Sus scrofa: one gene and its partners. The protein of the gene in region 1 interacts with the protein of each later gene in a biochemical or structural test. Links are inferred from orthologs where the notes say so. Each region holds a gene or a part of one and is shown in the gene's direction. Other genes may lie near its edges. The genes, in order: MMP14, TIMP2 and LUM.

Region 1 (4,288 bases):
TTGCTTGTTCTGCCGAAGAGTTGGATCCTGAGGTTTCTGTGGTTCTGACTGAATTCCAGAGGCCGGTTGGAGAGAGGCCTGCACTTCCTGACCCCCATTTGTATAGGGGAGCCCTGAGGTGCTTAGCCACCAAATAGTCACTGTGGACTAGGGCACCTCATAGCCACCGTATACTTCTTGCAAACCTGTTAGCTGCACAGGTCCCAGGGAAACCTTTCCTTGTATTGATCGTGGCTCCTCCCATGGAGTCTGGGGGAAATAGGACCTTTGCTCCAATACAATACAGAGCACTAGACTTTTCTTTCATTCTCCTGCCACAAATGTGATAGTTCCTGGGTCTCTGGGGTTTCTGAAACTTCCTACCTGACTTAATTTCGCCCAACCTCCATTATTCCTTCTTTTGCTGTCTTTCCCCCCACTACCTCCTTCCTCTCTCGCTGACCAATGCAATTCTTAGATCTTAGATTTCGCTGATGGTCGAGTTTTCGCTCTCCCACACTTTTCCTGCCTCTTTCGTTTTGCTTTTCCAGATCTAGCCCTCAGCCTCTTATCTGTCTCCCTTTCCCACCATCAGCTCTAGCCTGCCCTCCCCCTTCCCTGCAAACCTCCACCTTTTGTTCTCAGAGTCTCCTCAGCCTCTGGAGATTATACTTTTTAAGGGATTACCTCCTTTTCCGGGGTAGCGGGGGAACTGAACTCCTTAGTCCTGACTCCCATTCTCCCTTTTTCTAGCAATTTCACCAGACTCCGTTTGCCTTTCCCTAGATTCCATAGTCTTGCACTCCTTTCTTCCCTGGCCAGTCCTAATTTAAGGAACAGCAGATTACAAATGACAATAATAAAGAAGTGCATTTGTCTTTCTACAAGGACAGGATCCCCAGATCCAGTGTGGTGGTGGGATCTCTCAGTGGGTAGTTAGGTCTTGCTATTGTTGCTTTTAGGGGGGAGGGGGTTGGTCAGGGGAGGGACACAGGTGCTTGTCAAGAATAAGGGACAAAAATACGGTTGAGCCACAGGTCCCAGGAGACAACCCCTCAAATCAGGTCTCCTGGACGAGCAAGACCGCCCCCCGCCACCATCACGGACTCTGAGCTTCTTGTTTGCCCCAGCCACTGAGCCTCTCAGTACTTCCCACGGAGGTGAGACAAATGCTGAATACCAGAGGAATCAAGCCACCCAAAATATGCTTAGAGAGAGAAAGTCTCCCACATCCCGTCCCCTGAGTCCCTCCACAGTCCCCCGCTCTCGACTGTGGCCTCAACCCCTGCAGATGGCAGCCTCCACCACAGAAAGGCAACTTAGGGGTTTTTTTACCCGGCTCTTGGCTGTAATTGGATTCAGGCTGAAACAACCACGTCCGCACCGGGAAAGGAGGGCATAGGGGCGGGGGCGGAGGGAGGCTGTGGGAGAAGGGAGGGACCAGTGGAGAGAGCAAGAGAGAGGGCTCACGATCCAGTTCGCCCACTAAGCAGAAGAAAGATCAAAAAACGGAAAAGAGGGGACGAGCAAACAGGCGCTTTCAAGAACAAGCCCCTCATCTCCAAGAGGACAGCGCCCTAGGAACCCAAATTCAGTGCCTACCGAAGACAAAGGCTGCCCGAGGGAGCGGCGGCGCGACCCCGGGGCTTGGGCCCTGCCGCGGAGCCCGCACGGCCCGACTGCCTGGACGGTCGCGGACCATGTCTCCCGCCCCGCGACCCGTCCGCAGTCTGCTGCTCCCCCTGCTCACGCTCGCCTCCGCGCTCGCCTCCCTCAGCTCTGCCCAAAGCTTCAGCCCCGAAGTAAGTGAGCTCCTCGGGCCCTGCCCGGAGTTGCGCCCGCGGGGAGGCGAGCCCGGGGGTCTTCGGGGGAACAGCCCCCGGTCGGAGAGGAGGGCTCTCGGGGTCTCGGCCTGCAGGATCCCCCTTCCTTTCCTTTCCCTCCCCCTCTCCAAACTTCCAAGTCGATCCAACTTTTGCCTCCTCTCACCGATCCAACTTTTGCCCCCCCACCCCAGCCGCTGACTTTTTTTCCCCATTCCTTTCCCTGGAAGAACTTTCCAGCGGGGGCCCACTCCCCACCCCTCCCCAGTTCCCCTGGGCTCTGAGCTCAGCCCTGGAACCGGTCAGGAGCCTGATAAATATTTGGACTCGGCTCAGACCCCGCGCTGTCCCGGTTTCTTGTCATGTGCGAGAGTTTGTTGTTTCTCCAACTTTCCAGCTCTCCAGCGCTCTCCCGCCCGCGCTCGCCGGCGGCGCTCGGGCAGCCGGGGGGACTCGGAGACCGCGCCGTGCTGCCCCCGGCCCCCCACGCTGCGGCCGCCGCTGCCGCCTCCTGCCTCCGGGGCGGTCCCGGCCCTCCCCCGACGCCTCGGCAGCCAGGTGTGGTCGGGGGGTGGACAGCGGAGCGGCCCTGGCCCCCCTGCCACCCCCACCTCCACGAGAGAGCCCTCTGTGCCCCGGCCCGGAGCCCTGGCGTCGAGGGTCGCGGCACTGGCGCCCTGGCCCGAGTTTCTGGACACACAAAGCTCTCCTTGTGAGCCGGGGGCTTGGCCTGGCCGCCGCCTCCTCTCCCTGCTCCGCCATCGGCGCCTTTAGGCTCTTTTTGTTAATTGCTTTTCTGTGTCAGTTGCAGGGAGACTGGGGGTGTCGTACCGGGGAGCAGGGCCAGGCTCTGGCCCTAGGTGCCCGCACACGTCTCACAGACTGGGTTGCCCCCCACCCATTCCCCGACGCTGGCCCACCGGGCCCGGGAGGAAGCCGCGTGGGAGTTGTCTGAGGAAGTTTTTTCCTCTCTCTCTCTTTTATTTTGGGGTGAAGGTGGGAGACAGATTTGATCAGCTTCTTATTTTGGGCCATCCCAACCCACTCAGCACGGCCAGGGCCTGGGTGCGGTCGGGAGGGGCCGGGAAGGGCCTGAGCTGCAGAGCAGGGGGAAGGGATCTGGACTTGGCTTCCTCCCTCTTGGTCCCGGCCCTGGTCCCACCCCTGGAGGAAACATCTCCAGAAAGAACACACTCCCTCTGTCCTGAGGGGAAAAGTGTGGCCCTAGGAACGGGGTGACCTGGGAGAGTGAAAATCTGCCCAGGGGCTAAATCTGACACCATCCACAAGCAAGAGGCAACCTCTCCCCAGGCCTGGAGTCTTCCTCTGAGGCCTGAAGGGGAGAGCTCCGAACAAAAGGAGCCTGGGCATCTGGGGGGCTTCCCACTGCCAACTTCGCCTGCCCTGCTTTCCTTCCCTCCCCTGCCCCACTAGGTCCCCTAGGGGAGGGGCAGCAGCCCTGGCTCCGTTTTAAGTGGGTCATGGGCAGCCCCAGTGCCAGAACCACCATTTGCGTCTGGGCCATGAAGGATGGGAGGCAGAGGGAGGGAGGAGCAGACCCAGGGGCTGGGATCCAGGGCCCTCAGAAAAGCCAGAGAGTCCCCCAACCCGCTGCCCCCCAAGGACTCCTAGGCCAGGGGAGTCCCTGTCCTTGATTTTCCCCTAGGGCAATACCTTGCACCACTCAATTTTCAAGACAAAGCCAGCTGATTGAGTTCTCTGACCCAACAGAGTTGCTCCCTCTCCAGGCCAATCTGGACGAGAGCTGAGAGCTGGGGTGGCCTGGGCCTCAGGCAGCCAGCTCCCTCCCACCACCTCGAGTCTTGCACCAGCTCCTGGACAGCCCTCTCCTCCCGCTGGCCTGTTTGGCACTTGGCCCTTCCCCCACTCAGCCGCAGACACAAGAGTCCTCTCTTCTGTGGTTCCGACCTCATAGTCTCCTCTGTGGTTCTTGCTTTGCTTAGATCCTAGGCCTGGGAGGAGGAGAGGAATGGGGGCCCTTCCTTTCCAGGACTTGCAGCTCTCCTGACTCCAGAGAAGTCCCTTTCTTGACTAAGTCTCCACCTTCCTCTGCTGGATACAGGGTGGAGATTGTAGGTGTGAATATTTAGACCTGCCTACCTTCTTGAAAGTCTCATCAGGAAGCGGGGTTTATCCTAGAACTCCCCCCGGATGTGGATTCTCCCCATCTCTCTGCCACCCTCTATCCTGTCATCCTACCCTAGAAGTTTCCTCGGCTTTGCTCCCTGAGGGTTGAGAGGGCCTGACCTCAGTCTTCCAGCTCCAGCAGTGGGCTGCTCCCATCCTTTCTCAAAGCTGAAGCAGCTGCTCCCCCACCAGAGGTCATAAGCCTGGGGTGTGACTCCCCTCTAGGTAAGGCCAGGGGCAAAGGGAGTTTCCTGCATACTTGGGCACAGGCCACAGCAGGCCTCCTGCAGGCACTCACTGTGGCATCAGCCAGCACAGGTCAGGGCAAGTTTGGAGCT
Region 2 (4,134 bases), on another chromosome or scaffold:
GAAAATGCCTTCATCCAGTCCTTCAGGCTCCTGGGCTTCTGGGCCCAACCACCCCCCTTGCTGGCTGGTTAAAAATATGGCCAGTTTATGAATCCCGTTTTGGAGTTCCCTTTGTGGCTCAGCGGTAACAAACCCGAGTAGCAGCCATGACGACGCCGGTTTGGTCCCTGGCCCTGTTCAGTGGGTTAAGGATCCAGCCTTGCGTTGTGGTGTATGTGGCAGACCCTACTCAGATCCCCTGTGTGGCTGTGGCTGTGGTGTAGACTGGCAGCTGTAGCTCTAATTTGACCCCTAGCCTGGGAACTTCCCCGTGCCTCGGGTGCGGCCCTAAACAAACAAACAAACAAACAAACAAAACCCTGGTTTGCTCCTGGTAACCACTCTGCCTCTCCCTCTAACTCCGCTGGCTAAGCGCACTTAAAATTCTAAGGCCTCCATTTGAAAAGGAGTCCTTGGTAAGTTTCAGGCCACCCAGCCACAGGGAGCAGGGGGCGGGGGCAGGGCGAGGGGCGGCCGAGAACGACCCCTGTTCCAAAGCGCACATCCTTTTTCTCTTTCAGTCTCTGGCTAGAATCTCAGCGCCCCCCGGGGTGGAAGGGAATCAGGCAGTGTACACCTCCTGTGCCCAGCTGGAGGGGAAGGGCTGGTGGGTGTGCCGCCTGATGCCCTGGAGGGGTGGGCTGCGAGTCCCAGGTGCTGAGTCAGGCTGTGTGGGGCGCTGTCCGCGCCGCAGCACCCCCTCCCCCAACCCCTGGCGATTCGGGAGCCTGCAGGGTGCGGTCCCGGGCGGGGGGAAGCCAGGTGCGCAGCGGCGGGCCGGGGGCCGGGCCGGGCTGGGAACAACAAAAGCCGGGCTTGGGGGAGGGCCGGGAGGCGCGGGAGGCGCGCGGGGAGGGGAGCTCCCGGGGCCGTCATTGGCCGCCCGCCACCGGGGGGCGGAGCCAAGGAGCTAAGTATCGCAATAAAAGGCCGGCTCGGCCCGCGCCCGCGGCGCACACATCCATAGAAGGCAGTGGAGCCGCCGGGACCCAGGCCGCGGCGCGCCCGCCTGCTCGTTCGCCCGCCGCCCGCCGCCCGCCGCCCCCGCCCGCTCTCTCCTCCGCGCCGCGGGCCGCACCCCGCGCCCCTCGCCGCGCCCGCGACCAAGAGCCGAGAAAGTTTGTGCGGCAAGTGCGGGCCAGAGCGGAGGGCGCGCCCGCGGAGCGCCGCCGAGACCCGCGCGGCCCCGGCCGGCGAGAGGGGAGCTCCCCGAGCCCAGGCGGCGGCGGCGAGCCCGAGCCCGCGCCCCCCGCCCCCCGCCCGCCATGGGCGCCGCGGCCCGCAGCCTGCGGCTCGCGCTCGGCCTCCTGCTGCTGCTGGGGACACTGCTCCGCCCGGCCGACGCCTGCAGCTGCTCCCCCGTGCACCCGCAACAGGCGTTTTGCAATGCAGACGTAGGTAAGGACCGCGACCCCGCCCCGGCCCGGTGCCCACCGCCCCCGCGGGCCGCGCGGGACCCCCGAGGTTTCGCCGGCGCCCCGCCCGCCCGGCCGCATCTTGCAGAGGGACCCAGCGCCCGCCTCCTGGGCCTCGGTGCCTTCTAGAATCCTGCAAGTTGACGCCAAAATCGTACTTTCTTTTCCCCCTTCCTTCTCTCCCTTTCTTTTCCTCTCTGCCGAGATGCTTCTCAACCTCAAAATTCCACCGAAATTCCGCTGCAGCTCCAGCCCCAGAAAAGGGAGCCAGGGAACGGATCGGGTTTTGGCAGGCGGAGGGCCCTGGGATGCCAGCGCGGGGGTGGGGAGAGTGGGGGACACGGCGTGGGGGTGGGAGGACTGGGGACCCCGGGAGGAAACTTTCACAGGTGAAATGAAATGGGAGTTGGGCTCCTCTGGGCTTGGAGCTGGGTGGGGAAGGGCTGCACCAGCGGGGCCTCTCCCACCAGCCCCATTTGGGGCTGGTCAGATCAGGCTGGCCAGGACGGAAGCTTCCCTCTCCTGGGCAGGCTCCCCTGGCCTCCGAGGGGTAGGGAGAAAGATGGGCAGAGCTCCAGGGCGGGCTCCTTGCTCCATACCCTGCATCCAGGGACAGGCAGGAGCGTCCTTGAGTGGTGACTGCTTTTTCAGGACATTCACACAAATTGGGGGCTCTGGTGACTGGAGGCTGAGATAGGGCTGTATGGCTGCTTAGAGGCCCCAGCAAGTATCTGTTCCCCTCAGGGCCCCTTGCCCCCCCAGAGATGGGAGCTCTCCAGGGAAGGAGAGCTTGGTTATTTGTTGATCCCCAGAGGGGCAGGAGACAGAAGCAGGGAGAATGCAGCAAAAACGGGAGGAACCACCTGGGCCCCAGCGGTTCCCAGCCAGCTCTGGTGCTCGCAGGCCCCCTGTGCCCTGGTGATGGTCAGGCGGTTTTTCCCGAGGCACGCTGCCTTTAACCAGAAGGACAGATGCACAGCAGGTGGGCCTCTGCGGCTGCTTCCAACAGGTTTTTTTCAGCTTCTAAGTGTCAGCCAGCAGAGCATCTTGTTGCCAGGCCAGGTGTGGTGAGGCTGGGCCACACTCACGTGGGCCGACTCAAAGCCAGGGTCTGTGGGTTTCTCCTCCTGTCAGCCATGCCCCTCTGATCTCCCCACACTCCCCTGCCTCCTCCCCGGCTCCTGGCCACACCCCAGTTGGCCCCTGGAACTGCCACCACCGCCTGGCTTGGGAGGTCTTCAGGCACAACACGTAGCTCAGGCCACCTGCGCGTGGGGCGAGGTGTGTGCTTGCCTTCCGCAGAACTCGAATTGGGGCAAGTCGAGTCTGTCCTCCAGTTTGGAGAAGATTTGCAGGAGGAGGAGAGGCTCCTCCCAGTGGGGGGGCCGGGACTGGCCCTCCCGTGGGATGTCATGTCGCCTGGGGGTCCAGGCCTGGGCAGGCCCCTCGCTGAGAGAGAGGCTGCGGTCGGGGCAGAATCAGGCCCAGGCCCCGAGGGAACCCATGGCTCGGAAGACACTGGGGTCGAGGGGGCCAAGAGGGAAGGGGCTGGGCCTGGGGACCACCTTACACCCCTCAGCTGCGCGGAGACAGTGTCCAGCCAGCCGCTCCCATCCTTGTCCAGCATCAGCCAAGGTTTCTGCTTTGGGTTTGGATCAAGGGCAGCAAAGGTCAGGGTCCAGGAGACTCCGTGAGTCTGCAGGCTCCTTCTTGCTTGGCGCGTCACCCTCTCTTCCACCTGCACCTCCTGACATTTGTGTCCAAATCATTTGCAGCAAAATCATAGCCGAGCCCACACTTTTAACCCCAGCCCAGCCCAGCGGTCCAGCCAGGCCAGCCGAGGCCAGACTCGTGCTGCAGAGCCCAGTACATGAGATTCCTGTGGCTGCTGCAACAAGTGACGGCAGACCGGGAGCCCTAGACCATAGGCACTGATTCTCTCTCAGTCTGCAGGGCCTAAGGGCCAAGGTGAAGGTGCTGGCAGGGGACGTCCCTTTGGAGGCTCTGAGGGGGTCTGTTCCCAGTCTCTCTCCTGGTGGCTCCGGGCCACCCTTGGTGTCCCTTGGCTTATGGACACGTCGCTCCAGTCGCTGCTCCATTCCCTCGTGGCCCTCTTCTCTGCCTGCCCGTGTCTTCTCCTCTTGTACCAGTCATTGGATTCTGGGCCTGCCCTAGTCCCCTGTGACCTCGTCTTGTTCACATCTGCAATCCCCTACTTCCAAATAAGGCCACATCCCCAGGTTCTGGGTGGACGTGAAGTTGAGGGGGATGCTGCCCAGGCTCGTTCCACACGCAGCCCTTCTGTGCTCGTTCCACCCCGGATATGCTGCTGAGACCTCCCAGGGTGTGGGCCCCGGATGGCCGTGGAGCAAGCCCTGCAGAAAAAGCAGTGGCCTTTCCATGCCTGCTTCTCCTTTAGGTGCTGCAGGCTCGGTGATGATTCCCGCTCCGGCCGAGAGCGGCGTTGCCTGGGGTCTGGATCTCTTTGCAGATACCGAAGGTCTGGTTCAGATCTTGGCTTTTGTAATTTTAAAGCCCTCCAGGTGACTGTGCCATCGAGGCAGTGGCCCAGGAGTCTGGGAAAGGCAATGGCCTGTTGCACGTTGGGGTCCTTGAAGACTGGCCTTCTGCAGTGTGCTGGCTCCTTTCATTGTTGGCTGGATGCGGGCTTGTTAAATGG
Region 3 (2,649 bases), on another chromosome or scaffold:
AAAACTCCAAAATAAAAGGAAGAGTTTTCTCTAAACTGAAGCAACTGAAGAAGCTGCATATAAATTACAACAATCTGACCGAGTCTGTAGGCCCACTCCCCAAATCCCTGGTGGACCTGCAGCTCACTAATAACAAAATCTCGAAGCTCGGCTCCTTTGATGGACTGGTCAACCTGACTTTTATCCACCTGCAACACAATCAGCTGAAAGAGGATGCCGTTTCAGCGGCTTTTAGAGGTCTTAAGGGGCTCGAATACCTTGACTTGAGCTTCAATCAGATGACCAAACTGCCTTCTGGCCTCCCAGTATCTCTTCTAACTCTCTACTTAGACAACAATAAGATCAGCAACATCCCAGATGAGTATTTCAAGCATTTCAGTGGCCTGCAGTACCTGCGTTTGTCTCATAATGAACTGGCTGATAGTGGAATACCTGGAAATTCTTTTAATTTATCATCTCTGCTGGAGCTGGATCTCTCCTACAATAAGCTTAAAAACATACCGACTGTCAATGAAAACCTTGAAAACTATTACCTGGAGGTCAATGAACTTGAAAGTAAGTAGAGAGCTGTGCCTGTGTTTGATTGATGTTTCCTCAAGCCTTTAAATATCTGAGTGGTGCAACACAAATATTGCAATTTGGCTCCATTTAAAGAAATGAAAATGCCAACAATAAGATTTCTCTAAGGATACAGAAGAATTCTAGCTCTGTTATCCATCCAATATCTGGCTTTTCTTTGGAGAGTCCAGATAAGAAACCATTAAGGTCACAGAATGTAAACACTCATTTCTTCAATTTAATATTCTGGGCTAATTCATCCTACTGTGTTATCTCTTGATGTTTGTTTTCATTTGTCTCCTCCATGACTTCGATGTGTGTCTACATTTATTTCTCAGAAGCAAGGTGTAGCTGAGGGAGAAACCAACAAGCCCAGAAGAGGCAGAGCCAGCAGAGGCTTTTACATCTATCCCCGCCCAGGCAGCCTGTGTACACTCATGGTCTCCTCTGACCTCTTTATTTAGGGCTCAACATATTACTCAGCTACCAGGAGCATCATCTATCCCTGTTGCTCTATCACAGTGTGTGTGGCCCTCACGTTGTTCTTACGAGGACCATGGGGAGCATGAAGGAGAACTATGATAAGGGCTTAGAATATCTTTAATCGCGTTACAGAGTCTCTTTGCTTACACATAACACTTCGCCTCTTTTGATTTTCCCACAAATGTTCTCCTTCCTTTCTGTTACTGCTGTAGCTTATCTTTCATTTGTCTGCTGGAGTTTGACCTGATCCACCTGGGGTGTTTATGCACTCTCCTGGTCTTCCAGGACGTTTTTCCAGATGGGACAATAACATTCCCCATTCTCGACCTTACTCTTTAAGTGATGTTGGCAGAAGAAAAAAAAAAACTGTAATTCACAGACGAAGTTGTTTAAATGAAAACTCAGGTGGGAAGCATTGATTCACACAGTAAATAGTTCTGTCTGCCAAATAGTCTATTTAAATTGAACATCTTTCAGTTTAAAGTTGGTTCTCTTGTCATAGTGGGTAAGGATATTGACACTCCTATTGGGAAAAGAAAAAAAAAACCTGCAATGTGCCTTATTAATATGATATTCTATAATTCTGCCAGAGTTTCATATAACTCCTAATAGGGTTGGGGCGTTCTCTTGGAGACCATGCTTGCCGACTCTGCAATGCCACATGTTCTTTCTTGTATCTGGAAAGCTTGCTTGTCATACAATACACAGTTAAGCTAGGGAACATTCACTATGTGGCAATATACAGTCCCACATCACAAACATCTGTGGTTAGGAAGAAGGATGCTCAGACAAGCCAGCATGCTAATGGGATTTAAGATGTTGGAGTGCTGAAGAAATCCATTAGATTTGGTGGGTGGAGGTTAGCTCCAAAGGAAAGACTCTTTTCTACTCTGAGACGAGAAAGGGGAGAAATACAGATGGAGGGGTATTTGGAGGTCGAAGGACCAGTTTTCATTGTATGATTTAAAAAGGAAGAGCCAAGGTAGCAGCGAGGACAGTTGGTCTATGGGAGAAATGCCAACAGCCACTCACAGCCAAGATGAGACTGAAACCCCAGTGCCCAGCACCTACAGCCATTTGGAAATGTGTTGTTACCTTTCTCCCATTCTTATCCTTGATACTTCGGTATCCACATTTCAGGGAGTCTTGCTATTTGACTTTGCCTGTGCATCTTCGAGTGAGTTGATTCTGCCACATAATAATCATGTATACCAATTGCCCACATTCTCTTAGAACAAGCCCCTTAATGTTTTTCTGATGAAAGGAAATATAGTGTCAAAAACTATTTCTCATATTTCAACCTTGCAACTTGAAACCTTAGCTTAGTTACAGGTCTGTGTAGGGTAAAGCAATTTAGAAGAGAGAAAAATATTAAAAGGATACCAATACTTATTTAGTAGGTAGTATGTGCTAGCACTGTGTGAAGTGCTTTATGGACCTCAGTTAGTGTAATCTTCAAGCGACACAGTGTGATGGGTATGTTATATCTGACAAAAGGATCAGATACATGTTCCAGATGGTAAATGGCAGGGATAGAAAACTCTTATAGACCTAAGTCCTTGTTTTTTTTTCCATTGTTCCATACTCTCTCAGAAGTGGGTACCATAA

What was found.
Region 2: the proteins of MMP14 (region 1) and TIMP2 form a complex in vitro, tested with the Homo sapiens proteins (2 studies listed by BioGRID). The link is inferred for Sus scrofa from reciprocal best matches to the Homo sapiens genes MMP14 and TIMP2.
Region 3: the proteins of MMP14 (region 1) and LUM interact in a biophysical measurement, tested with the Homo sapiens proteins (2 studies listed by BioGRID and IntAct, with this or other methods). The link is inferred for Sus scrofa from reciprocal best matches to the Homo sapiens genes MMP14 and LUM.

Annotation. Positions count from the first base shown.
Region 1 is NC_010449.5:76,183,038-76,187,325, reverse strand, and holds the start of MMP14 (matrix metalloproteinase-14 precursor), read left to right. Parts: upstream 1-1,441; 5' UTR 1,442-1,679; coding exon 1,680-1,781; intron 1,782-4,288.
Region 2 is NC_010454.4:3,253,504-3,257,637, forward strand, and holds the start of TIMP2 (metalloproteinase inhibitor 2 precursor), read left to right. Parts: upstream 1-1,290; 5' UTR 1,291-1,304; coding exon 1,305-1,437; intron 1,438-4,134. UniProt on the Homo sapiens protein: Complexes with metalloproteinases (such as collagenases) and irreversibly inactivates them by binding to their catalytic zinc cofactor. Known to act on MMP-1, MMP-2, MMP-3, MMP-7, MMP-8, MMP-9, MMP-10, MMP-13, MMP-14, MMP-15, MMP-16 and MMP-19.
Region 3 is NC_010447.5:91,751,804-91,754,452, forward strand, and holds part of LUM (lumican precursor), read left to right. Parts: coding exon 1-555; intron 556-2,649.